Sus scrofa: one gene and its partners. The protein of the gene in region 5 binds, or shares a complex with, the protein of the main gene of each other region. Links are inferred from orthologs where the notes say so. Each region holds a gene or a part of one and is shown on either strand. Other genes may lie near its edges.

What was found.
Region 1: SRRM2 (region 5) and BUD13 share a complex: the UniProt entries of both Homo sapiens proteins name them as parts of the minor spliceosome. The link is inferred for Sus scrofa from reciprocal best matches to the Homo sapiens genes SRRM2 and BUD13.
Region 2: SRRM2 (region 5) and CRNKL1 share a complex: the UniProt entries of both Homo sapiens proteins name them as parts of the minor spliceosome. The link is inferred for Sus scrofa from reciprocal best matches to the Homo sapiens genes SRRM2 and CRNKL1.
Region 3: SRRM2 (region 5) and CRIPT share a complex: the UniProt entries of both Homo sapiens proteins name them as parts of the minor spliceosome. The link is inferred for Sus scrofa from reciprocal best matches to the Homo sapiens genes SRRM2 and CRIPT.
Region 4: SRRM2 (region 5) and RBMX2 share a complex: the UniProt entries of both Homo sapiens proteins name them as parts of the minor spliceosome. The link is inferred for Sus scrofa from reciprocal best matches to the Homo sapiens genes SRRM2 and RBMX2.
Region 6: SRRM2 (region 5) and RBM48 share a complex: the UniProt entries of both Homo sapiens proteins name them as parts of the minor spliceosome. The link is inferred for Sus scrofa from reciprocal best matches to the Homo sapiens genes SRRM2 and RBM48.
Region 7: SRRM2 (region 5) and SNIP1 share a complex: the UniProt entries of both Homo sapiens proteins name them as parts of the minor spliceosome. The link is inferred for Sus scrofa from reciprocal best matches to the Homo sapiens genes SRRM2 and SNIP1.

What each region holds. Positions count from the first base shown.
Region 1 is NC_010451.4:44,148,402-44,151,901, forward strand, and holds part of BUD13 (BUD13 homolog), read right to left. Parts: intron 3,041-3,500; coding exon 2,270-3,040; intron 1-2,269. UniProt on the Homo sapiens protein: Involved in pre-mRNA splicing as component of the activated spliceosome. As a component of the minor spliceosome, involved in the splicing of U12-type introns in pre-mRNAs.
Region 2 is NC_010459.5:28,091,372-28,094,871, forward strand, and holds part of CRNKL1 (crooked neck-like protein 1), read right to left. Parts: intron 1,830-3,500; coding exon 1,638-1,829; intron 506-1,637; coding exon 446-505; intron 1-445. UniProt on the Homo sapiens protein: Involved in pre-mRNA splicing process. As a component of the minor spliceosome, involved in the splicing of U12-type introns in pre-mRNAs.
Region 3 is NC_010445.4:93,915,917-93,919,416, reverse strand, and holds part of CRIPT (cysteine-rich PDZ-binding protein), read left to right. Parts: intron 1-1,694; coding exon 1,695-1,798; intron 1,799-2,106; coding exon 2,107-2,171; 3' UTR 2,172-3,500. UniProt on the Homo sapiens protein: As a component of the minor spliceosome, involved in the splicing of U12-type introns in pre-mRNAs. Involved in the cytoskeletal anchoring of DLG4 in excitatory synapses.
Region 4 is NC_010461.5:106,887,402-106,890,891, reverse strand, and holds the end of RBMX2 (RNA binding motif protein, X-linked 2), read right to left. Parts: coding exon 3,366-3,490; intron 1,676-3,365; coding exon 1,498-1,675; intron 1,083-1,497; coding exon 574-1,082; 3' UTR 501-573; downstream 1-500. UniProt on the Homo sapiens protein: Involved in pre-mRNA splicing as component of the activated spliceosome. As a component of the minor spliceosome, involved in the splicing of U12-type introns in pre-mRNAs.
Region 5 is NC_010445.4:39,274,230-39,278,413, reverse strand, and holds the start of SRRM2 (serine/arginine repetitive matrix protein 2), read right to left. Parts: upstream 2,801-4,184; 5' UTR 2,257-2,800; intron 1-2,256. UniProt on the Homo sapiens protein: Required for pre-mRNA splicing as component of the spliceosome. As a component of the minor spliceosome, involved in the splicing of U12-type introns in pre-mRNAs.
Region 6 is NC_010451.4:72,443,479-72,447,610, reverse strand, and holds the start of RBM48 (RNA-binding protein 48), read right to left. Parts: upstream 2,801-4,132; coding exon 2,657-2,800; intron 2,120-2,656; coding exon 1,929-2,119; intron 1-1,928. Other genes in the region: PEX1 (peroxisome biogenesis factor 1), read left to right, coding at 2,995-3,243. UniProt on the Homo sapiens protein: As a component of the minor spliceosome, involved in the splicing of U12-type introns in pre-mRNAs.
Region 7 is NC_010448.4:93,609,370-93,613,529, forward strand, and holds the start of SNIP1 (smad nuclear-interacting protein 1), read right to left. Parts: upstream 2,801-4,160; 5' UTR 2,708-2,800; coding exon 2,484-2,707; intron 788-2,483; coding exon 685-787; intron 1-684. UniProt on the Homo sapiens protein: Required for pre-mRNA splicing as component of the spliceosome. As a component of the minor spliceosome, involved in the splicing of U12-type introns in pre-mRNAs. Down-regulates NF-kappa-B signaling by competing with RELA for CREBBP/EP300 binding.

The DNA of each region.
Region 1 (3,500 bases), on a different chromosome or scaffold from region 5:
AGGCTAATGTTCAGCATTCATTTAGTCCTCCTGTGACAAACGATCACTAACCTAAATACAAGTACAAATGACATGGGAGAGAAAATCGAAATCAGAGACAACTTTTAAAACCAACAGGCAGGATGTGGGATTCTAGTCTCAAGTTATAATGACTGTGACTGGCATGTAATATCTCAACATACTCCTCTGTGCCATATTTATCCACACAGAGTGAGCAAAACAAACTGCACTCAGGTCTCAGCAGCATGGTAAAAGTTAAAATGGCCTAGAATATATTCTGATGTCCTCAGACTAAAGGATAACAATGTATCTGAATTTAAAAATTAAAACAGGGGAGTTCCCACTGTGGCTCAGTGGTAATGAACCCAACTAGTATCCATAAGGACATGGGTTTGATCCCTGGCCTCGCACAGTAGGTTAAGGATCCGACATTGCTGTAAGCTGTGGTATAGGTTGCAGATGTGACTTAGATCTGGTGTTGCTGTGGCTCTGGCATAGGCTGGTAGCTGCAGCTCCGATTCGACCCCTTGCCTGGGAACTTCCATATGCCACACATGTGACCCTAAAAAGCAAAAAAAATAAAATTAAAACAGTGCCTTGGGACAAAAGAGTAAACAAATCTCACTGCACAGGCCTGAGTTGTAGACATCACAAATCACCCCCAAAGAGTTCCTGCAGTGGTGCAGTAGGTTAAGAATCCCACTGCAACAGCTCAGGTTGCTGTGGAGGCACGAGTTCAATCCCTGGCCTGACACAGTGGGTTAAAGGATTCAGTGTTGCCATGCCACAGCTGCAGAGTAGTTCACAGCTGTGGCTTGGATTCAATCCCTGGCCTGGGAACTTCCACATGTCTTGGGTGCAGCCATTAAAAAAACAAAAGCAAGGAGTTCCCGTCATGGCGCAGGGGTTAATGAATCCAACTAGGAACCATGAGGTTGCGGGTTCGATCCCTGGCCTTGCTCAGTGGGTTAAGGATCCTGCGTTGCCGTGAGCTGTGGTGTGGGTCACAGACGCAGCTCGGATCCCGCATTGTTGTGGCTCTGGCATAGGCCAGTGGCTACAGCTCCGATTTGACCCCTAGCCTGGGAACCTCCATATGCTGCGGGAGTGGCTCAAGAAATGGCAAAAAGACAAAAAAAAAAAAAAAAAAAAAAAAGAAAGAAAAGAAAACAAAAGCAAAAAACTACAAATCACCTCCCCCAAAAAGCAATCTGCAACAGGTGTCAACAGTCCTAAAAGCATAGGACCCTGACCCTCTGACCCAGTAAATCAATTTCTACTTAATTTCTAAGGAAACATATTTGGAAGTACTTTGATTTCCAGGAGATCAATCTAGAAGTATTATTAAGGAAATAATCCAGAACAGGGCAATAGTTTATGCATAAGGATGTTGATTATAGAATTATAGAAGAAAAGGTGCAGAAACAACCTCAAATATGCAGTATTAAGGAAATGGTAAATTTATGTAACAGAATACCAACAAAAATTATATTAATGAGATATTTTATGACATGAGGAAGATAATGTTAAGGGAAAAAAAAAAAACAGACAAGATTACACATGCAATATGTATTTACTGCCTAGACAGACCTCGACCACATAAAAAATGAATAGAAAAAAAACAAAAAAAACTAAAAGAACACAGATTACAACACTAGCAGTGACTGCCTCTGAATGACAGAATTTTGTATGACCTTTTTCTACTTCTTTATACATTTCTATACATTCTGCAATGAATATGCAGTATTCTTATATGGGGTGGGGAGAATAAACAAAAGAATATATAAAACCCTCCTCTCTGCTACTATAAATTTTTAACTCTCCTCAGCCCAACCTCTCATGATTTCCCTCCAGTTTTGTTCGGTTTTTTTTGTTTGTTTGTTTTGTCTCTTGGCCTTTTCTAGGGCCACTTCCGCAGCACATGGAGGTTCCCAGACTAGGGGTCTAATTGGAGCTATAGCCGCTGGCCTATACTACAGCCACAGCAACTCGGGATCCGAGCCATGTCTGTGGCCTACACCACAGCTCACGGCAATGCTGGATCGTTAACCCACTGAGCAAGGGCGGGGATCGAACCCGCAACCTCATGGTTCCTAGTTGGATTCGTTAACCACTGTGCCACGACAGGAACTCCTCCCTCCAGTTTTTAAAACTTCTCCAATGCTCCATTCTCATTTCTAAAGATCACAAATACCTAAAAAGGAACTAAAAGGCCCAAAAGAAAGTGCCTAGGGAGTTAAGTCCTTCCTATGGACAGTCAAATGCTCACCTTTAGAGTCATGTTGCTTATTTCCAGAATGGGATTTTGCTTGCTTTTTTCGTGGAGGAGAGAGGTCTGAATCACACTCCTGCTTGCTGTTCTTTGGGAGTGATGGATGAGATGGTCCTGGCCCCTTCCAATGGGGAGAAGCTTGGCTAGACGCTCTTTCTGGGGCTGTACTGCTTTTGGTTCTGGGCAGTGAATGAGGGACACTAGAAGCCAAGTCAGGGGAATCATGACGGGCCCTCCTCAGCTGCGATGTGTCCATGGAATCAAGAGTCCTTCTAGGTTGAACTGTGTCAGGGGAGCGATTACGGGCCCTTCTGGGAGGAGAGATATCTGAGGAACTGCGGTGGGCTCTCCTAGGAGGTGATGGATCTGGTGTATCATGACGGGCTCTCCTAGGAGGTGATGGATCTGGTGTATCATGACGGGCTCTCCTAGGAGGTGATGGATCTGGTGTGTCATGACGGGCTCTCCTAGGAGGTGATGGATCTGGTGTATCATGACGGGCTCTCCTAGGAGGTGACGGATCTGGTGTGTCATGACGGGCTCTCCTAGGAGGTGATGGATCTGGTGTGTCATGGTGGACCTTCCTAGGAGGTGATGGATCTGGGGAATCATGACGAGCCCTTCTAGGAGGCGATGAATCTGGAGTGTCATGGCGGACCTTCCCCGGAGGTGATGAATCTGGGGTGTCATGACGAGCCCTCCTAGGAGGTGATGCATCTGGGGTGTCACGACGGAAATGTCTGTGTGAGGGCAGATCTTCATTGTGGCCTAAACACAAAGAGCAAAGAGTCAGAATCCCACAGATGCTCTGTTCACCCCCAGGAACCATAGTTTCAAAAGATGCCCCAGGAGGATACATCTGAAAACTACTCAGAAAGCCCAAAAGGTCTGTACAACTCTTACTTGGGGCAGTAAGACAGCACTCATGAATATCCTAAGAATAATCTCTCATATTTGCCTAACAAGTCATCAGTCTGTAAAGCATTTTAAATATTTTTCATGTTATATTTTGTTAGGTAAGCAAGGCAATTATCCTTGCTTAACAGACCTGAAAACAGAGACTCTAAGGGGCTAAGTGATTTCTTACCTGGGGTCACAGCTACGAAGAGAAAAGATAGGCTTGAACTCCAGTCCTCTAACTCTTAATCCAATGCTCTTCCACAAAACTGATTTGTACAGAGCTCCCCACTAGAGGCTCTTATTGATATTTAGCCTAGATAATTCATAG
Region 2 (3,500 bases), on a different chromosome or scaffold from region 5:
CAGAACACTCCCCCTCTATTCCAGAGGGCACCTCGGGCAACATCTCTGTCTCTCATGCTGGGAAAGATGGCAGAGACCACATGTCAACCATTTCCACAACACACGTGTTCCTCACGCCTACATGTCCACTGGGGGCCAACAGACCCTTGCTGGCTGTCCGCATGCTCAGTGAGAGCTCCAGGAGTGCACCTCCCTCTCTCACCCGGTCTGTTCGGCTTACCCTCCGCCCCTGCATTTCTACATTATTATCTGTGTCAGTCACTGGTCACCTAACACAGGCTGTCCATTCAACCAGGCTGCAAGCTGTTTTCAGAGGCAAAGAGCATGTCTTGTTCTTCATTATGTTTTTCACAGTGCCTTGCACAGGTATTTCACTGAATGGTTTCACAAGCCACAGAGGCAGGACTCTGATGTGTCTGGAACAGAACACTAAGGGCAAACGTACCTTTTTATGAGGAATGAGTTCCAAAGAGGCTTGGTAAACCTGTCTTGTCCTCTCGGGATCCTGTATCAGGATGAGAAATTTTTACAAAAAGTTCACATCTATTACTAATACTAATTTTACTATTACTGATAAAAATGGTACACCCCAACACTGAATATGCTAAGGTACTTTCAAAACCTTATTCCATTTATGATCAAAAGTGAATTAGGTGTTTCTGTTGTGGTTCAGTGGAAACGAACCTGACTAGCATCCATGAGGACATGGGTTCGATCCCTGGCTTCGATCAGTGGATGATCCCGCGTTGATGTAAGTGGTGGTGTAGGTCGCAGATGTGGCTCGGATCCTGAGTTGCTGTGGCTGTGGTGTAGGCTGGTGGCTACAGCTCTGATTTGACCCCCAGCCTGGGAACCTTCATATGCCGTGGGTGTGGCCCTAAAAAGCACACACACACACACAAAGTAAATTACATTTGGCCACCAAACTTTGATTAAAGAATTACCCATAACATAGTCTTCAAACTCTGAAAGCTTCTCTGTGGAAAGGCTTTTTTGCCTGACAGCAGAAACAAAGATGTGCTATAGCCTCAGATCAAAAACAGAAAATTAATCTTTTCCCATTAACCTATACAAAACAACTTCTGAAAATTCCACTTTTCTTTTTTTTTTCTGGCTGTGCCTGTGGCATGTGAAAGTTCCTGGATCAGAGATCAAACCTGTGCCACAGCCGTGACCCAAGCTGCTTCAGTGACAACACCGAGTTCCTAAGCCACTGTGCCACAAGAGCACTCCCTTGATCTTTACTAAAAGCAAGAACATGCAATCCAGCTGTGATACTATTTATCAGAAAATCCAGGAAACTATATGTAATTAAACTAAGGGGTGGCCCATTGTTCCCTTTCAAGTTCTAAGTAATACTCTTGTTATGCCTCAAGGTTAAGAAAAATACAATGCCAACTTAAAACTCTATACACCTGTGCCCACAATAGGTGTACAGAGTTTAAAACCTGGCAGAGAGAATGATTCATTATTTGGCTGAATGGAGGCTTATGAGAATCTAAAGCAAAACTCCTATTGCAAGGATTCTAAGAGTCTGCTCCCACCACACCTGCTGAGCCGAAGCGCAGGGGGGAGGAGCCTGTCGGCGCAGGGGGAGGAGCCCGTCAGCGCCTGCCCAGGGCCCCGCCGCTTCGCACCTTTGCCTCCAGCTCCTCATACAGGGCGTAGTTGACCCAAAGATAGATGTAGCGCTTCCAGTGCCTCTTCTCCTGGATGGGCGGGACGTTGGCGATGGCACGCTCATACACTTCTCGCACAGTCTCTGCTTCGGCGTCACTCTCCACCAAGCGCAAGTAATCAAACCAAGCGTCGTAGTTGTGCGGGTTAGCCTAGAAAGTTAAGGCCGGTAAATAAAACCGAAGAGCTGTGCCTGCTGGACTATGTGAGATGAAAGGTGGCACCAGACTGACTTCCTATATCTTAGCCACTTTTTTCTAGACTTCACATGCTATTTCATTAAGAAATATCATTCTTCTGTGGCTCTGGTGTAGGCTGGTGGCTACAGCTCTGATTCGACCCCTAGCCTGGGAACCTCCATATGCCACGGGGGCGGCCCTAAAAAGGACAAAAGACCAAAAGAAAAAAAAAAAAATCTATATCTACATATATCATTATTGAGGGGGCAGATCAAGATAGATAGAGGAACAGAAGGACGTGGAGCTCCCCTCCTCCTGCAAATATACCCACATGTGGGACAATTCTCACAGTATACTAACTGGACACGGGCAGATCTCAGATACCCCGGAATGCCAGAAAGATCTCCACGTAATCAGATAGGATGAAAAGGAAAAAAAGAAAAAAGAAGAAGGAAGCCGGACAGGACCTGTGCCCCTGAGAGTGAGCTGTGAAAGAGGAAATGGCCCACATCCTGGGAAGACCCCTCACCCGAGGGGAGATCAGCTGGGACAGAAAGGGAGCTTCAGAGGCTTGGAGGAGAGCGTAGCAGCCAGCTGGTGGGAGGCAGAACAGAGAGACCAGCCCAGAGGATCCCTGCTACCTCGCTGCTGTCTCTACCCCAAGACACGCGCCTCCTATGTGTAGGGGCCAGGTGATGAAAATCGGGCTTCAAAGGACAGATCCAGGGAGAGGACTGAAGCTGGCTGCGTGGAGACAGCCTGAAGAGGCTGGAGTGGGGTATGGACCACAACCCAGGATGTACAGGGAAGCCCAGGCCCCCACAGAAGCTAAGCGCCATTGTTAAGGGGCCCCATGAAGGGAGAGGTAGGCTCACCATAGCTGCCCCTTCCTCAGCATGCACTCAGCCACAGCGGCACCTCTACAAGCTTTGGGAGCACGCAAGTGCCAGTGATTGCCCACACCCAGAAGTGGAGCTGATCCCAGGGGCTGTGCACTAAGAAAGCAGGGCTAAAACCTAAGCCCTCTCCCCGAGGCTGTGCAATCCACGGATTTGTGCCACAGCTGCCAGCTCTGTAAACTCAGCGCCCGTGGGACATCTGAGTGGACAGTCATGCTCCATGGCTAGAGCGGGGCCAGCCTTGGCAGCTGTGTGTGCGTGCATGTGGAGTTGGGCTGGGGTCTGGGCTGCTTGCACGGCTCCCACGGAAGGTCCAAGGGCATGACTACTGTAGTCCCAGTACCTGATTTCAGTGGATCGGCACCTATGGATCTGCACTGGTGGGTTTGTGAACACAACACCTGAAGGGACCCCAGGGCCAATCACCTGTATGCCCACAACTGAGGTGGGTCGAGGGTAGCGCCAAAAGGAGTGTACTTTGTCAGCTTGCACAATGGGTGACAGGCGACACCACACACTCCCCAGTGGACGGCTCCAGCGGAGGGATACTCAGTGGCTCCTCTCCTAGTGGGAGTGCTACAGTCCCACCTACCTCACACCACAGCTCAGAAATGGAGCTGGGGGCTTCTACTTCAACACTTAGGAAGCAGACCCTGCCCTCAACAGGCCTGTGACAACCACAGAGCAAAAAAAGGAGGCCTCCCACTCAATATCCAGCACAGGCTGTGGTCACCACAGCACCAGC
Region 3 (3,500 bases), about 55 Mb from region 5:
CTCTTTAGCGAGTGGTATTGGGAAGGTTGGACAGCTGCTTATAAATCATTGAAGTTAGAACACACACACTCACCATACACGACGACAAACTTGAAATGGCTTAAAGGCTTAAATATGAGACATGATCCCATAAAACTCCTAGAAGAGATCATAGGCAAAACATTCTCTGACATAAATCATACCAGTGTTTTCTGAGATGAGTCTCCCAAGGCATAGAAATAAAAACAAAAAAGAAACAAATGGGGCCTAATCAAACTTACAAGCTTTTGCACAGCAAAAAAAAAAAAAAAAAAAAAAAAAAAAAAAAACCATAAGCAAAATGAAAAAACAACCTGCAGAGTGGCAGAAAATATTTGCAAATGATGTGACTAACATGGGCTTAATTTCCAAAATATACAAACAGCTCATTCAACTCAACAATGATATAAGAAACTACCCAATCGGAAAATGGACAGAAGACTGCAGAGACATTTCTCCAAAGAAGAAATAAAAATGGCCAATAGGCACATTAAAAAATGCTCAACATCACTAAATATTAGAGAAATGCAAATCAAAATTATAAGGAGATACCACCACACATTAGTTAGAATGGCCATCATTAATAAGTCTACAAATAGCAAGTGCTGGAGAGGGTGTGGAGAAAAGGGAACCTTCCTACACTGTTGGTGAAGATGTAAATTGGTACAACCCAACCACTGTGGAAAACAGTATGGAGTTTCCTCAGAAAACTAAGGATAGAGTGGGATCTAGCAATCCCACTCCTGGGCATGTAGCCATACAACTGTAATTCAAAAAGATACAAGCATCTCAATGTTCATAGCAGCACTATTTACAATAGCCAAGACATGGAAGCAGTCTAAATGTCCATTGATAGGTGAGTGTATACAGCCATAAATTCAATGGAATACTACTCAGCCATAAAAAAAAATGAAATGCCCTTTGCAGCAACATGGATCAACTAGAGATAATCATACTCAGTGAAGTTAAGTCAGAAAGAGAAGGACAAATACCATATGATAGCGCTTGTATGTGGAATCTAAAATATAACACAAACAGGAGTTCCCTGGTGACCTAGTGGTTAGGATTCGACACTTTAATTGCTGCGGCCCAAGTCACTCCCTGGTCTGTGAACTGAGATCCTCACATCAGGCTGCTGCATGCTGCTGCCAAATAAATAAATTAATAAATTATATATGACGCAAATGAACCTGTCTACAAAACAGAAATAGACTCAGGACAAGGAGAACAGACTTGTGGTTGCCAAGGAAGAGGGGGTTAGGAAAGGGAGTGGGAGGTTAGGGTTAGCAGTTGTAAGCTATTTTACTTGGAGGAGATAAATAACAAGATCCTACTGTATAGAACAGAGGACTATATTCGATAGCCTATGGTAAACCATAATGGAAAAGAATATTAAAAAGAGGAGTTTGTGTGTGTGTGTGTGTGTGTGTGAGTATCTGTATGTATATATACACACACATATATATAGCTGAATCACTTTATGTACAGCAGAAATTAAGACATTGTAAATCAACTTTATTTCGTAAATAAGAGAGTGGCCAGCTAGAAGAGTGCTATAACTATCAACAATAGAGTTCGATAGAAGAACAGAGAGCATGGATTAATCATATGTGTTGCTTAAGTGAAATTTAAGTGTCTTTATTATACATTTTTCTTTCTTAAAAAATAACCTTTAGATTTGACCCATATGGAAAGAATAAGTTCTCCACTTGCAGAATTTGTAAAAGTTCTGTGCACCAGCCGGGTTCTCATTACTGCCAGGGCTGTGCTTACAAAAAGGGTGAGTCTTTTAATACCATTTTTGTATTCATATCAAACCTACTTCTTTTGATATTGATTTTGATAACATAGTAAAGGAGTAGCCCATCATAAATCCTGTTAGTCAAATGCTCTTTTTTCTAAGACAAAATTGAAACTTAGAACTTGTAGTTAAAAGTATATATTTTATTTTTCCCTTTTCTGATGTTGTTAAATTATATTTTAAGCTTCAGGAACAACTTAAATTGTTGGTATTAGCTACTTAAATTGTTGGTATTGGTGTCATTAGTTATCATTTGATTGCTTACATGTGTTGTTTGTTTGTTTTAGGCATCTGCGCTATGTGTGGAAAAAAGGTTTTGGATACCAAAAACTACAAACAAACGTCTGTCTAAATGTATTGAAGTATCTACTTTCCATATGATTTACTTTTTGCTTTGAATTTTCAAGGTATAACATAGATATTCAATTTACAAAATAACATGCCTTTAGATAATTACGTTTAAACCAGGGAAGTAGATGGGTATTCATTCTTTTGCTCTCAAGAAGTTCTGAATGGCAACAGTATAAAGTTTTCTGCCTAAAGGTTTTATTTTCCTTACAAATATCTTACTGAACTGGAATAAGTGATAAATTAACAAAAAAAATATTTTCCCAGTTCTGTATGCACTTTTTATTTATCATTACTCATATAATTTTTATTATCTTTTTTTCTACTTTATATGTAGATCTTGAAAAAGTGAGAAGGAGGTTATTAATATTGGCTTTGAACTTGGCATTTAGATTTGTAATTCTTCACTCATCCCCTTTTTATTCATATAGTTCTTAGGGTCAGCAGTCCCTTAATTAATTGTGGCTTCATAGAGCATTTAAATATCTGAGACCATTGTTGCTAAATAGTTCCTAAGTGATTAGCTCAGACCCAAATCAAACAAAAGTTGTATTTGTGGTATTTTTGATTTGTTCTTGAAGCCAAAGTGCCAGTACCTTTCACATGAGAACAGGAACACAAGGGATACCCTCTATGTGTCCACATCAACACACTGGATTTGAGAAAAACACGTATTACACATTACCTTGAATTCAGACCATCATGAAAGCCAAGAGAACAGTGTGCATCTATCATGATAGATCACAATCCTTTGGGAAAGTGCTTTGAAGTAGAAACTAAACTTTTTTTTTCTTACTTCCTCTCCTTTTCCACCCCCCCCCCCGCCAAATAAATAGACTAAGCAAACATTTTTATTTTTATTTATTTATTTATTTATTTTGTTTTTTGCTTTTTAGGGCCACACTCTGGCACATGGAGGTTCCCAGGCTAGGGGTCGAATCGGAGCTACAGCTGCTGGCCTGCACCAGAGCCACAGCAATGCGGGATCCGAGCTGTGTCTGTGACCTACACCACAGCTCACAGCAACACCCAGATCCTTAACCCACTGAGCGAGGCCAGGGATCAAACTCACAACCTCGTGGTTCCTAGTTGGATTCGTTTCCGCTATACCACAACGGGAACTTCTAAGCAAGTTAAATATATGTAACATAGATTGCTAAAAGACTACTTTGAGGTTTCAAGGATTTTTCCTATGTTGCCTTCAGAGGCACAGGACTTTTGCTTTTGAAACCTGTTAACTTACTGTGGGAGACAGAAAAAAGTATTCCCCATTGCCAAGTACAGTATAAATACATATCACTATCAAATGTGTAGAGGAGATAACATGATGCTA
Region 4 (3,490 bases), on a different chromosome or scaffold from region 5:
AACTGCCTGGCATTTCCCCTTTCCTGGCCATTTCATCATAAACTGGGGTCACAAATTCAAGGGCCCTATTTATGAATCCAAATTTAGGATACATGCTCTGGCAAGTACCCAAAGTACTAAGCATATTCCCAGGGACAATGGATTGGGCTCAAAAATCCAGGACATTTAGCTGTTAAAACTACAGCTCTTGGGAGTTCCCGTCATGGCTCAGCAGAAATGAACCTGACTAGTATCCATGAGGATGGGGGTTGGATCCCTAGCCTCACTCAGTGGGTTAAGGATCCAGTGTTGCTGTGAGCTGCAATGTAGGTCGCAGAAAGGGTTCGGATCCCACATGGCAGCTACACCTCCGATTTGATCCCTAGCCTGGGAACTTCCATATGCCATGGGTGTGGCCCTAAAAAGCAAAACAAACAAACTACAGCTCTCTCAGTGATTCTAATACTCAAGGGATCAAAAGAATATAGCCTCAGAGATTTTACATATAAATAGCAAAAGCATAACTGAATTTCATTGTATTTTTAAAACACAGTTCACTTCCAATTCTATCATGCAGCTGAACAGTCCGTGGCTTCAGTGATGCCTGCGGTCACGGTCACTGGGATTAGAGGACTCCCGCTCCCGGGAGTGCCGGGCCCTTTTATGCCTGTGGGACTTATCTCGGCTCCCACTTCGACTTCTGTGACTATGCCCCTCAGAACGCCCATTGTGCCGGCTGTAATGTGCATCTGAGCCTCGACCTCTGTCTCTATCCCTGTTCTTTTCTTCTCTCTCTTCCCTCTTGCTTGACGACTTGTGTTCGTGCTTGAGCTTCTCCTTCCTTGGCTCCCAATCCCGGTCCTCTGCTCCATCGTGGCAGATCGTTTTGACCTCAGGGGAGCTGGGGTGCGGCTTCCGGACCTCCCTGGACTCTGACTTCTGACCCCTCTCTGAGTTCTTGCCGCTGTGCTTTTTAGAGCCAGGGTCATCCTTTTCCTTCGTCATCTTGCTTCTGGGTGAGGAAGAGGAGGCTGGCTGCTCTGCTAGGACCTCCTGGTCAGTCTTCTCTTTGTCTTTCTTTCTTTTCTTTTTTTCCTTTTTGTCTGGAGGAAAAGAGGGGCACAATTAATAAGAAAGAAAAGGAAGATGGAGGAAAACATCTCTACCTCCAGAACAGTGCCTCCAAGAAGCCAAGCTGGATGTCTGTCACCTTTGATGTGTCAAGCTGCTTTATAAGGCAACTCCCACCCTTAATTATCTCTTTAAAGACCCTACTTCCAAATACAATCACATTTTGAGGTAACTGAGGGGGCGGTGGTTAGGACGTCAACATAAGAATTTTGGAGGACAGAATTCAGCCCATACCATTAGCCTTTCACTAATACTGCTCCTTTCCCAATTAAGGCTCCCCACACCTTCCCCCTTCACAGAGCTGATTATCAACGCTCACTGAATGCTAGGAAGAGCAAACACCTAGCCTCCCCAGAATCTTCTCACGAAAGGGTTTTAACGCTTTACCTTTTTTGTGCTTTTTGGTGGGTTTGTCATCTTCAGAGCTCTCTGATGAACTCTGTGAGGGGGTGTGAGCCCCACAGCCCCTCTCCTGGAGCTCTTTGGTCACATCATCTGTTTCTTCTGAGTCCTTAGGCGCCCGATAGTTAGACACATGATCCACTCGGATAGTTCTTCCTTTGATCTAAGACATATGGGCAATGCTTCAGCAAAGACAGCCCTCCTATCTGTTTGAACCAGCTAGAGAAAGCCTTGGTTTTAACCATATCCATTACCCTCACACTAATTCTACTTCTCAGGAAATCTTGAAAGCAGATCTGCCCAACTAGTGTGTCACTGCACATATACCTACACATTAATTCACTCAGCCCTCAAGACAGGAAGCAGGGGCCAGGGGCAGCTGCAGCCCCCAGGGCCACTGCACTAGGCAGCCTCATCAGTTTACCCCAGTGTGTCATTTAAATATCTTCATGTTCTACATGTGCCAGGAAGTGAAAAAAGGCTGGGAAGTACTGCCGCAAAGCACAAGCAGCACAGAAAACTGTAAGAGCTTAGACTCGCCATGAATTATCCTCAATCTGTAACATTCATTTACAGTGAAACATACCGTGAAAAGGCCTGGCTGCTAGCAGGAATTCCTGAAATCCAACTCAATGCTACAGCTGCTTTCTCGACACAGCAATTAGGATGAGGCCAAGGCAGGCCAATAGTTGGAGGGGGGTAGGAATTAGCAAGGACTACTTTCTTTTTTCTTAAGCTCTATCCCCTCCATACTGGAATTGGCTCACACTGATACTTCTACTGTAAATCACAACACTTCAGGTGAACAATAACAAATTAACCCCTTACTTTAAAACATTCAGGCAGATACAGACTTATTCTATAGGTAAGGCTATCTGAAATTTGAAATACCTAGCTTTTACTTTTCTATTCAGGACAGGTTTCTATTCTTACCTTTAAGCCTGAGCACTTTCTATCATTTATCCTATCCGACATTGCAAAACATTTTTTCAAAGCCTTCCTTTTATGGTAACTCCCTTCAAAAAAATCAAGCCTAGAACCTTGTTCCATCCTGTCCTATAATCTCCAGCTGTCCCATACGGGTGCAATCAGTGACAAACTCTCCAAGTCAAGAGTCACCCCTCCAACCTGTGACAATGCTCATTCCACAGCAGTGCTTTTCCTAGACGAGTAAAGGGACTGTGTGTAGCATAGATAAGCCTGACTTGCCCCATCCCCTTCTCTCAGCCCAATGTCTCACTTACAAGGATGGAGAGAGAGGGAACAGAGGAGAGAATACTTCAGAATGACTTACTTTCATAGAATTTGTCATCAAATTTTAACTAGAGAATTTCTAGGGCCCCGTGCCACTAAGTCAGTGGAGACCTGACAAACATAGACAGCCATGTCCTCGGTCATGTAACCACGATGGAGCCCCAAACTCCCTGACACAGGACAGCAAGGAAGATCAGTGTTTGCTAGTTTCTTTGTTCTCCAATATACCAGAGATGAGAGTGGAGTGTGAGGAGGGTGAGAAATAGAGGCTTGGTTGGGTGTGGGGTGGGAATGGGGGCATGGTACCTATGCTCCTGAGGAGATGGCTTGTTAATAGATGGGTCATGAGCCACTGGAATTATTTCCTGGGATCATTTCCTGGTCAACATGTCCCCACACTTTTGCAGGGTCATGAGCCACTGGAATTATTTCCTGGGATCATTTCCTGGTCAACATGTCCCCACACTTCTGTAACTCTCGCAACACACCCAGTTGACCAGTATTGGCCTTTGAGCCTGTGGTTATCAGGTGGGGAATGAAACTGAACCCCTTCACACAGGAGAAAGTTTAGCCAAATCCTGCTTGGTAAGCACACTCACCTTTATCCCATTAAAATTGTCAACAGCCAGAACTGTGCTCCTCTGGTCTTCATAGCAGAGGAAACAGAATCCTTTGGATTTCCCAGTCTTCTTGTCCCGCACCAGATTAATGTTAACAATCTCCC
Region 5 (4,184 bases):
CTGTTTGCAGCTCGTTCTTTTCCCACCCCAAAGATACTATTTATCCCAAATTTCTCCACACTGTCCTTTTATTCTCCCTTGGCCCAACTAACTCCTAACCCCTGGCAACTGAGGCCTCCAAACTGGGCACAACAAACACCAAAGAAAGATCTGTGGCACCCAAGGGCCTGCATTCCAAGTTTAAAGACTGTTCTAAGAATTGACCTAAAGATTTCATGCTACCCTGAAAGTACCCTGAAATTATGAATACAAATCGACTAAATAGCCCCTAAGTATTCAAACAAGTGGCCCAGACTAAAGGCCAGCACGAACATCCGAAACACATGAACCTTGATTTGTATATAACCCTCACACCTCACCTCCCAGACAAGGGGCCGCTTCCTATTAACTATCCCAACTGACGTGGATTCCTTCCCAACAGGCTTTCTCGTGTGGTGTGTGGCTCCCAAGTCTCACCAGTTCCTGATAAATATTAATTTTCAACTCAATTCTCTGAACACATCAAACTAGCCTGCCCTGTTTCAACTGTCCCCTTCTCTACATTCCTTCCCCTACCCTTACTCAGAAAACTCCCACTCTTCGTACCTCACATTCGTTACATCAGCTTTCCCTAAGAGTCCCAGGACCTCACTTCCTGGCTTCCTCCTCCAGCCCTCCTCGCCCTCTCACTCATCATCCTGCACCTGCCACCAGAACTTCTACCCTCTCAACCTGTCCCAACCCGGGTGTGGCTCTGAAGAGCCCTCAAACCCTAGTTTTTCTGATTAAATTTCTTGGCTAAATATACTCTATTCCTTTCTCCTGCTATATATTTTTTTTCTCCAACTCATCCTGTCAAAGGTAGTTTTCACAGGGGAAATGTGTGAGGGAAACAACCCCAGGAACGAACCCAAGGAACAAAGGGAGAAAGTAGTGAAAGCAGAGGGGAAAAAAAATATATATAACTGGATAAAAGGGAAGGCTTCATTTTAGAAACCCCCAGAAGGAACATCTGGATGAAGGTACTAAAAGCCCTCCCCACACCTAAGTGGAGAGAGATGTTGACTGAAATGGCAATGGCCCAACTCTAACAATTTGGAGCCCCTTAACCCTCAACTCTAAGGTTGGGACTCTGTTCAATCCCAATTGCAGACTCTGGAGGGAAAAAAAAAAAAAAATCCCTACTGGGGTAAAGGAGTGACACATAAAGCTAAATCTACGAAAAGTCAGTGGAACTATATGAAAATAAATGAAAACCTTTATAGCATATGAAATCCTTCAACCTCCATTTTTATCTTTTTTTTTGTTATTTTTCTCCGCCCCACTCTAAACCTAAGTCCTCTTTGGCTTTCTATACCCTACTTGGTTTCTGCTTCCCTTGCAGAACGCTTCTGATCTGCAATTAATTCTTCAACTCAACCATTCACCCACACTTCCATACCTCCTCACACAATAATCCTCCCACTCCCTGGAGAAGGAAAACCAGTAGATGATAAGCGTGCACTTTAAAATCTATTAAGTCACAACAGATGGGAACGCTTATAGGGAATGAGCCAATAACGAAGCCACAAACACACCATTCAAGACGGCGCTCAAAACATTTTAAGAACGAATAGACAAAAAAGTGTATCAACAACACACACAGATCATCAAAACCACATAAGGATTCTTAAACTGGGGTTCGCAGTCTGTGCATATGCAAAAAATCATCACCCAAGCATGCGGCAAAAAAGCAAAAGCAAGCTGCAAAGAAAGACGAAAGGGAGGTTTTTTTACTGTTGGAAAATCATCACAGTACCAAACTAACTAAGCAGAAAGGAGTTTCAAAATCCAATAATACGGTATTTAAGAAGAGAAATGCACCAAAAGGGGTGGGGAGTGTGCAGAAAAATGGACCTGAGTAACAGCGCAATAAGCTCAGTACAGGAGCAGTGTGGTAGCTGAGTGGACACTAGGCAGCCCAGAAAACGAAAATACTCGCTCAGGAAGAAATCCAAACTCACACACTCAGGAGAAGAAAAAAAACACAAAACACTTTCTCAATTTTTCGACCCAAAATATATCTTAAAGAGGCGTCTGAGAGGAAACCAAAAACTAGAAGACTTGGGCGCCAAATGAAGACAAAGTCCAGCGTTTCCTGAGGCTGGCAGCCTCTTCCCTAACTTTAACATAACTTTTTGGTAAATAACAAAACACGGGGAAAGAGGAAAGAAAGAGAAGGAGCGAAAGAAACAAAAGAAAAACTGAGAAAGCAGTACATGGCCTGCCTCTACGTACCTAGACTGAAGGACTTTTTTCCTAAACGTTTCCCTTTTTTAACGCTTCAAGACAGAGAGTAACGCATCCGAACTGTCTTAAATCTCTTGGGCGTTTAAGTTCAAGGCCTTCTCTGCACTGGCTGAGCCACCAGGGCCTATTTTCGGCCTTGAGGGAGAGGGAGGGGGCTGAGCGGCGCCCCGTAGTCTGGGAGGCTCAAGGCCGGACCACAAGCCTCCGGGAGGGACGGGTTGACCAAACCGAGAGGCTCAGGGGTGAGGAGCCGGGAGCGCCCCCCCCCGGCGCGCCGCCGCCGCCCCCTCCCCGCCGAGAAAATGTCGGCAAGGACAGCTGCAGGAGGGCCTCCCGGCCGCACGCGCTGGGGAGCCGGGAAGCCGAGTCGCGCGCTCCCCCCTCCTCGCCGAGAACGCGCGCGAGGCCGAGGGCAGTCGGCGGCGCGCGCCGTTACCATGGGGGAGGGGAGGAGGAATAAAGACCCGCGCGCGGTAAGAACCCCGAGGAGGGGGAAGGGAAGGCAGGCAAGCGAGAACGTCCGCACGAGCTAGGGGTGGCCAGCGCGCGTGCGCGCGGCGGCCTGAGCCGTTCTCCGCGCGCTTTGGCCTAGCGCCGGGGCCGCCGCCCCTCCCCCACCCGGCTCGCGCGCTCCCTCACCCGCCGCCGCCGCCTCCGCCCGCCGCTTCCGAGGGGGAGAGCTGTTGCCGCCGCCGCCGCTCGAGGTCCTGAGTCCCTCGGCGCCTGGAGTCGCCGCCTTGCCTCCCCGGTCCGCCCGTCTCAGCCGACACAGACGCCTCCTCGCTTCCTCAGGGGCCGCAGCGGGCTCCGACTGCGCCACTCGCACCCCGCCTGGGCCGCGCTGCACGTCAGCACGACGGACTAAGAACGTCAGCACGCTACCGCGCGCGTCGCAGGGCACGCCGGGAGCCGTAGTACTCTCCACGGCCTTGTGCGCAGGCGCCGAGACTGCACCGGGAAGTGTAGTTAATTAAGGCCCGAGGGAAGGGCAACTCCGTTGTCGAAGAACTATGATTCCCGTCGGCCCGTTGCCGACGCGGTCGGAGGAGCGGACCGAGAATGCAAGCAACGCATTCTCGACAGTTTCCGCTGGGAGGCGGAAGACATAGGGCCTATCGCCACATAGCCAGCGCGAGGGCTCTCCTTGACCTCCCGACTTCGTCCCAGGGTATCCTGGGAGTTGTAGTTCTAGGAGGACGCGGAACCCTTAAGTAGCTTCGCCTTCCCCTCACGCGGCCATTTTGTCTCCCCATGTTGGGAGGCGATGGTCCCAAGCCCAGGGACCCTGCGGCTCCCAGGTGATTGCCGTCCCCTGTCCTTCCGCACCCGGGAGACCTCTACCACCCCGCCCAGACCCCGGCCAGCGGACATCCCGGGAACCCCAGAGCCCAGCGTCTGGCTCAGGGCTTGAGCCTTAGGCCCGGCCAGTAGGCGGTCTTGTTCGCAGCTTCTGCCCGCCGCAGACAGTGTTGAACCGGGCGGCTGCACCCCGGGGATGATTTTTTGTTACCATCCCCCGCCTGTAAGGGGGCGATGAGCTTTTTCTCTTAGGGAACCTGAGATGTATCATATACGTGTTAGGGCGAAAACGTTACCGACGCCCTGAAGTTTTCCACCCCTCTGCAGAGTGCCTGAGTCCAGTTTTTTCCAGTGGGAGAGCAGCCAGTCTCCCTCAGAACAGAGGTGGAAGAAGCGAGGCTTCCCAGGCAGGCCACAGTTTCAGCTGGAGTCCCCACCTCCTGCTCGAACTGCAGTTTGCGCTCGGCTGCCCTGGTTAGTCCAGGTTCTTACACCCTCATCAGTGTTGGGGACATGGCTTGGATGGTCAGTCGAAAAATGAGACATGAACACTGGGAGATCTCGACAAGGCTCTTTACTTCTGCAGAAGGGTGTGGGTGCTCAAAAAGCGCGTGCAA
Region 6 (4,132 bases), on a different chromosome or scaffold from region 5:
TTTGATCCCTGGCCTTGCTCAATGGGTTGGAGATCTGGCACTGTGAGCTGTGGTGTATATCGCAGACACAGCTGTGGTGTATATCGCAGATCCCGCCTTGCTGTGCCAGCAACTGTAGCTCCGATTCAACCCCTAGCCTAGGAACTTCTATGTGCCGCAGTGTGGCCCTAAAAAGCAAAAAAATAAATAAAAAGCAAAGTCCAGGTTTTGCCAAGTGTATATACATCTTATACTTAGGGAATAAGAATTTCTGCTTGTGGACAGCATGACTCTACTGATCCAGTGCCTACTCTTAGAGCCTTTCTTTCCCTCTCCCTAGTCTTAATAGGTTTCAAGTCATCCATACCTATCCAGACTCCCTTTAACCAATACTGGATCCAGCTGGTTGGCCTGAGGTACACAATCTGTGGTTATGAAATAGAGATTTTTCTCTATGTTAAATGGCTCTTGAGCGTTAGCTCATACTTATTTTAGCCTTTTTGGCACAATGTGTTCCTATAATGGGATTCATATTTAAGAAATTAATAAAATATTGAAATTGTAACATTCAATAATGGAGGAAATATTGAATATATAACAATCAATGAGAATGGTATTCATTCAACAAATAATTTTTAAACATCTGTGACTGGCCAGGAATTACTACAATAAATAAGCACTTCAGTGCCCAGGGAAAATGATAAATACTTACTGAGATTTTACCACATCCCAGGCAGTGACCAAAGTGCTTAAGTGCTTCTCTTGAATTAACACAACAACCCTCTGATGAAACTGAAGCCTAGAGAGATTTATAACTTGGCCATTCTCACATTAGCTTTTGGAGCTAAGATTCAAATCCAGATGTCACACTGCATGACCTACTGTACCAGGTGGAGTGAGAGATGCAAAACTCCTTAAAATACACAATGAGAAAATATCCCTAACCATGAGGAGCTGACAAATTGGTTAGGGTAGTGAGATTATATATAACGGCAACCTGAGAACAACACACGATGACATTAACCCAAGTGATTTATGGCAGAAAGACTACAAGGGCTATCTGTAGCACAGAAAAGAAAATATGAATTCTAACAGCCAAGAGAAGATGGGTCTTGGAGCCTATCAATAAGAATAGGAGTCAACATAAAAAGAGCCAAGGCCCCAAGTAGAAAGGAAGAAGAGGGTTAAATTGGGGATTTGGGATTAACAGCTACACACTACTATATGTAAAACAGATAAACAACAAGGACCTACTGGTTAGCACAGGGAACTCTATTCAATATCCTGCAATAACTTATAAAGGAAAATAATTTGAAAAGGAATGTGTGTGTGTATACACACACAAATAGGTATATGTGTGTGTGTGTGTATAACTGAAACACTTTGCTGTACACCTGAAAGGTTGTAAATCAACACTTTCATTTTTTAAAATGAGGGAAAAAAGAGATAGGGCATTTCGTACTTAATTGTTGGAGAAAATTTTATGTTATATAGAAGGAGATTCAATTACACAGGTCCATAAAATAAGAGATCCAATACCTAATGTTTACTGCCTTCTGAATAGAAGGCACTGTGCTAAGCCCTATACATGGATCCATGTCATCCTCACACAACCTCCGTAAGTAGGTCCTTTTACCATACTGGTGTCTAAAGAATAAGAAAACAGTCTTAATGGGGTCAAGTAACCTGTCCATGGTCATGATGTTAGTAAACAGTGAAACTTGAAAATTTACTCCCAAACCAATTTTTAATCTACCATACTACACACACAAAAAAATTGTTAAGCATGGGAATGACGTGATAGAAAGAGTTTGGTAGGGCTAACATTTAAAAAGACTAGAAGAATACAGGGTCATGTTAGTTACTGGGTAATTCAGAAATGAATGAGGGAGGCCAAATGTAGGCAACGGGAATGGAGAAAATGAGACACTGTTTAACTTGCATATTACCTTGCACTTTGTAAATTGAGAAATTTAATAAGATAAACTTCTGTAAAGTCTTCTGCTGGGTATTCATCTAGAGCATTATACTGTTCAATTGCACCATACAAAGCAAATCGCTCAACTAATTCCTTCATGGCTCCGACTGCAGGAACTCCTTGTATTAATAAGTACCGAGATTCCAAATTGATCGTGTAAACCTATAAGAAATCAGACACATTAAATGTATTTCACAAAGAAGCCTGGGACAAATCTAATCCTATATTTTTTTAAAGTTGAAAAAAACACCTTTCGACTGGTTTGCATAAAAACAGGAAATCTAAAAACTTGCCCCTCTCTCTACATAATGAATAGTTTACCCTTCTTGCAAAGGCCTTTAGCTAAAGCACGTAACATTATCTTCCATCAATGTGTTTTCCACAAATTAGCTCGGTAGAAGTTACAGGGACGAGTTAACAAGTATTCGCTGAGCGTTTACCATGTAACAAGGACCACTGTAAACACGGAAGATACAGTGACTGAAACACAGCCCTCTTCTCACGGAGCTGAGGTTCTAGCAGTAGACTAAAGAGCACTCAAGCATCTTTGGTACTTGAGTACCAGCGTTTTTCATATTCTTCTTCAGTTAATCGATGTGACCGCAGCCTCTCAAGATGTTATTTACGTAAGCTGGGCATGTGAAGCTGGAACTCACAGAAAGCTACCGGGGATAGCGATTGAAACCAAAGTCACTTTACCCTGACAGCGCGAGGGCGGCGCCCCTCTCGATACTTGGCCCGCGAGTCGCATACAGCCCTTTGGACGTGGTGATCGAATAAGCCTCCTAGCTGCCCGCCGCTCAACGCCATCTTGCCGGTGTTATCCCTCGCGAACGACAACATCCGCCCCGTTGCCCCACCGTTTACCCAATAAGAGAGAGGGGTGAGTTAAGGCGTTCCGAGATTGGCTGAAGAATCGACACCGTCGGCCATCGTTTCCTGTGAGCGAGGATTTGGTGAAGAACGTGTCGCCCCCCAGCGGCGCGGCGGAAAGGCCCTGAGAACAGGCGCAGGCGTGCTGGCCCCTCCCGCTCCGGATGCGCCGCGGGGCCTTAGGGGGCGGGGCCGATCGATCGTCTCCGGGTCCGACGCCCGCGACCTGCGGGGTTGGCCCGGGAAAGATAGGTTGGGCGGCTGGGGGTCGGTGCCTGCAGACAATGTGGGGCGGCGATCGCCTGGCGGGTGCTGGCGGAGGCGGGGCGGCCGTGACGGTGGCCTTCACCAACGCTCGCGACTGCTTCCTCCACTTGCCGCGGCGCCTTGTGGCCCAGCTACACCTGCTGCAGGTAAGGCGCCCGCTTGGTGCCGGGCTCTCACCACCGACTTGGGACAGCTGCTGGCCAGTCTGCGGTCGGCCGAGACCCAGGCCTTTTAGGGACGCAGCGGCCGCTCAGGCCTCTCCCGGCGGCGGGATTAGGGCTGCTTTCCCAGCCCCGCCGACCGGTTCAGAGGCCACACTGAGGACCCCTTGCGGGCAGGGCTGGCCTGGGCGCTCTTGACAGCCACATCACGTCTAGTGCAGCACGGCTTCTTTGAGTTGACCTGCTGTATTCCAGGTCTTTTACTCGCCGGAACTGGGCTTTGAAACGCCCCGATATTCTCCCTCTTCGTTCAACTATTCCTCACTCCAGGTTGGAAAAGCTCTTGAGAAGTCGGGTTTGTTTGTCTTTTGGGATTCTGTTCTGTTTTGTTTCATTATTAGAAAACGTTTTTCCTGCCAGCGATTTCCAGGTGCTTGCATGGCTGTGGTCCCGGCCTTCAGAAAGAGGGGCGGACTTGGTTTGTGAAGTCTCTATTGGTTAACAGAGGTGGAGCCCTGTGTCCCACGAGCGGGATAGATTAATATGAACCTTCTTCCTGTGTCTCCAAACACCTCCGGGGTGCTCCAGGAATGTGCTGTGGGAGTATGCATACTTGGTCATAGGTAGTTAGAATTCCTTGAACCTCTGTTTTCACTTGCGCTCTGCACCTTGTGGTTGTGGCGGTTCATAGCTCTAACACTTGCATGGTTACAGAGATGCAACATCTGTATTTTCCTAATTGTAAAGTGGAGACACCTGGTTTACGAGTTTGAGCGTGCTTGCTTAAGGGGCTAAAAGGATAGGCTGTTTGAAATCTTCGAAAATCCTGAATGCATAGTACCCACTGGTTTGCAGTAATTTCAACAGTTTGCAA
Region 7 (4,160 bases), on a different chromosome or scaffold from region 5:
TGGGAAAATGGTTAAACCCATACCAGTGAATATCATTCGGCAATAAAAAGAATGAACTACAGAGATGCAATAATCTAAATGCATCTGCAAAGAATTTTGCAGAATGGAAAAAAGCCAATCCCATAAGACTGCATACTGTATGATTTCATTTACATAATATTTGTGAAATGACAAAATTACAAAATGGAAACGAGATGAGAAGCTGCCAGGAATTGAGGGCTAAGGGTGCGAAGGAAATGAATATGACTACAAAAGGACTATATGAGGGATCTTGTGGTGATGGAAAGGTTTTGCATGTTAACTGTATTGATGTCAATATTTTGGTTGTGAATAGATAATCAACAAGGACCTACTGTACACCAGAGGGAACTATCATTAAACTATACTTTAATTAAAAACAAAAACCACTTTTCCCTTAAAAATTTTTTCTGGTTGGAATAGAGTTCTATAATTATGTAAAATGCTTCCAATGGGAGAAACAACCACTTCTGTATTATTTTCTTACAACTGCAGGTGAATCAACAGTTATCTCAAAATAAAAGGTTTAGTTTAACGAAGTAAACAGGCAGACAAAAAAACCCCAAAAAGCCAGTTTCTAGAAAAGCCCACCGCAGGCAGAGGTGAACACACACACAACACTCCAGCTCTGATGGAGCCGGTATGAAAACATCTCAATCCGCTTACCTGCTTCACTTTGACTGTTGAGTGGTGAGGACTTCGGCTTCTCCTACTCCGGGGAGACTTGCTTCTTCTCCCCGAGGACTTATTTTTCTTTCTCGGTGGGGACCTGTTCAGAGAATGGTACACATAAATTTCATCTCAATTTTCATTCGCTCATACAAATTAGCTTCAAGTATCAGGCCTATCTACTAACACAAACATCACATTTGTGAAGGCTTCTGCTGATCACACTAAAGGAGTCAGGAGCTTCACTTTTTCAGCCCTGAATGTCTCCCACATATGTAGCTGCCAATTGAAACTTCTCACTTCGATAAGAGAAGGCTAAATTCCCACCTCTCAACTTTCCTATCTTTGCCATCAGGGTAACTGATACCACTATCCATCCGTTCCTCAGGCCAAAAACCTAGAAGTCATCCTAGATTCTTTTTTTTTCTCCCCCTTACCACCAAGAGGCCCCATGCTCCTCCCCAACACGCTCACAATCAATCAGCAAGTCCTCTGGCTCCAGGCTCTACCTCTTCTCTCTCCCACCGCATTCCTACCCACCTCACTATACCGGATCCCCTCCCCTCCTCCTTTTCTAGAAGGAACACAATTAATTCCACTTCAGGATCTTTGCACTGCTTGTTTTCTCTGATTAGATCTTTACAAGCCTGGATTATTTTTATCAATCAGGTTTCAGGTCAAGTGGCAGACTTTTCACAGAGAACCACTTCTCTCCACTCTCTATGACATTACTGTCTTAACCTATCCCTAGTACTTGTTACTAACAAATTATTTTCTTTATTTCCTTGTTATTCTGTCTCAGGGCTAGAGCATCTCAGTTTCACCAGGGTAGAGATCATCTATCATGCTCATTCTTTCCACCCCAATACCCAGGACGGCCTGCCTGCCTGCCTCATATTTTCTTTTCTTTTTCTTTCTTTCTTCCTTTTTTTTTTTTTTTTTTTTTTTGTCTTTTTAGGGCCACACCCTTAGCATATGGAAGTTCCCAGGCTAGGGGTCAAATCAGAGCCACAGCTGCTGGCCTACGCCACAGCCATAGCAACACAGGATCAGAGCCGCATCTTCGACCTACAATGCAGCTTATGGCAACGCTGGATCCTGAACCCACTGATCGAGGCCAGGGATGAATTCTACATCCTCATAGTCCTCAAGAATACTAGTCCAGTTCGTTACTGCTGAGGTACAATGGGAACTCCCATTATTTTCTTTATTTCAGTTTTATCTGTGTATAATTTTACAGTTTGATTCAAATTCCACATATACATTTATATTTTAAAAAATTGTACATAGCTATTTTCCACATTATTTTATAACCTATGAGGTCTTTAGCACATAATAAGTACTCGACAAAACTATGTCGAATGAATGAATAAATTGTTCGCAAAAGACAATTTCCCCCCAGAATATCAGACAGATCACCTAGGCTCAGGATATGAAAACTTCTTGGGGCAGATAACTGAAAAAATAACCCCATTTGGAGGCAGGTGGGAAAAATCTTTCATTTCAACATAAACTATCATTGTCATCAGCTGGACCATACTCGGAGAAATGCTGAGCACACAGAGATGAAGGAGCAAGAACTTGCCCATCAGGCATTAGGCGTTTAACGCCCAGGTATAACGCAAGTAACAGGTATCAGAGTAAACGTTAACACACTCACAACCGGTCACTTCTATCGCCTTAGGATTAATTCAAGCTGCCGCGCTCAGCATTCAAGGTGTGCTCCTGGTGCCAGCCCTGTCCCCCTTTCTCAAAAAGCCCGACCTCAGGTCTACCCCAGGCTGCTTCCCACTTACCGGCTACCTCCTCGAGCTCGGTTCCCGCGGTGACCGGGGCGGCCTGACTCGCCGGCCAGCGGGGAAGGGCTACCGCCGGAGGAGTCCGGACGGCGATGGACAGGAGGCGCGGATTCCGGGCTGAGGCGCTCCTGCTTCACCACCACCGTCGCCGCCGCCACCATGTCCCCGTCCCGGTGCCTTCGCCGACTTCCCCGCTCCCGCTCGCTCTTCACCTCCTTCATGCTGTGAAACGGCTGAGCCAAGGAAAAACAGGACCGTCGCGCTCCTCTCCGTGAAGGAAATGACGGACTTGAGTCCTGGACTTCCGCTTCCGGGTGCGCGCTCTCCCAGAAACCCTCGCGGCGGATAACGCGATCAGAATCCCGAGTGGGCGGGGCCTTAGGGACCCGACTCTGTGGGGCGGGAGTTTTAGGTTTCAAAAACAAATTGGGGGGAAAAAGCTCCTCTCAAGGTTGTTTGTTGACGCGTTATTACTAGTTACTAAACATGGGGACAAACTACACATCCAGCAGTAGAAAAGAGATTATGTCACCATTTGCAATGGTATTTACAAACTATACGACAAATGGAAAAAAGTCTGACTTGTTAAATGGAAGAAGCAAGATGCAAAATTGTGCGCAGACTGTGATGACATTTACGTTTGGAAATACGAAGGAAAGGGGAAGAGAAGGAAATGCAATCACAGATCGTAGCCCGGGCAAATCGTCGGCCGGGCAAATCGTCGCCATTTCTCCATTAAAGGCAAACTCTTTTTAAAACCTGGGAACTTTAAATGCCTTCCTCTGGGAATCTTCCTCAGCCTTCACTGAGGAGTCAAATGATTCCATTTGCGGGTGACAAAATCCAGGATCAGCGAAAGTGATCTGCGCCTTACTCAAACCGTGAGCTGGACGCAGCGAAGGGATCCAGAACTCAAGTTTCCCCTGCTTCCAAGAGTGCTAAGGCGATCCCGGTGAGCAGGAGGCTTGACAAGCTAAACGCAGGAGAACTTTCCTCGAAGGTTGAGCAGAAAGAAACTCTCGAGCTGCTGGCCCCGCCCCGCCTCGAAGCCCCGCCCAGGCCATGAGGATGTCAAGGACGTTTCCATGGCGACGGCAAACACTGCCCTGACAGGAGGGTCGCTGCTGTGCTGCTACCCTCGCCGCCGCCATGATCCCCCCCGCCGACTCTCTGCTCAAGTATGATACCCCGGTATTGGTGAGCCGCAACACGGAGAAACGGAGTCCCAAAGTAAGGAGGAGTCTCAGGATGGGGGAGCTCGGAAACTCCCACGGGGAATGACAGATCCCTGCCTTGAGGATTGGGAGTCCCAAGGGACAGAGGGTGCAGTGACTGGGAATAAAGGGAATTAGGACCAGGCAAGGAGGGTGGGAGAGCGGTACAAGAAGCCCAGATGTTGGGTGATCCTAAGGGCAGATTTAGGATGGGAAAAAAAGTCACAGAGAGATGGATGGGGCTCCCTGCCCTATCCAGGTAGTGTACAAGGATAGATCTGATAGTGACTGGCCCCATCTCTAAAGGTAAGAAAGTAAAGGCCTGAGCAACATCTGCACAAGGAGATAGAAGCATTGAGTTGGGGTGGGACCAGAGATTCTTCATGGCCTCCTTCAGCTCTGAAACATAACTTCTAATGAGGAAGAGTGATCTGAGAATGGGGGAGAGGTATGCGAGTGA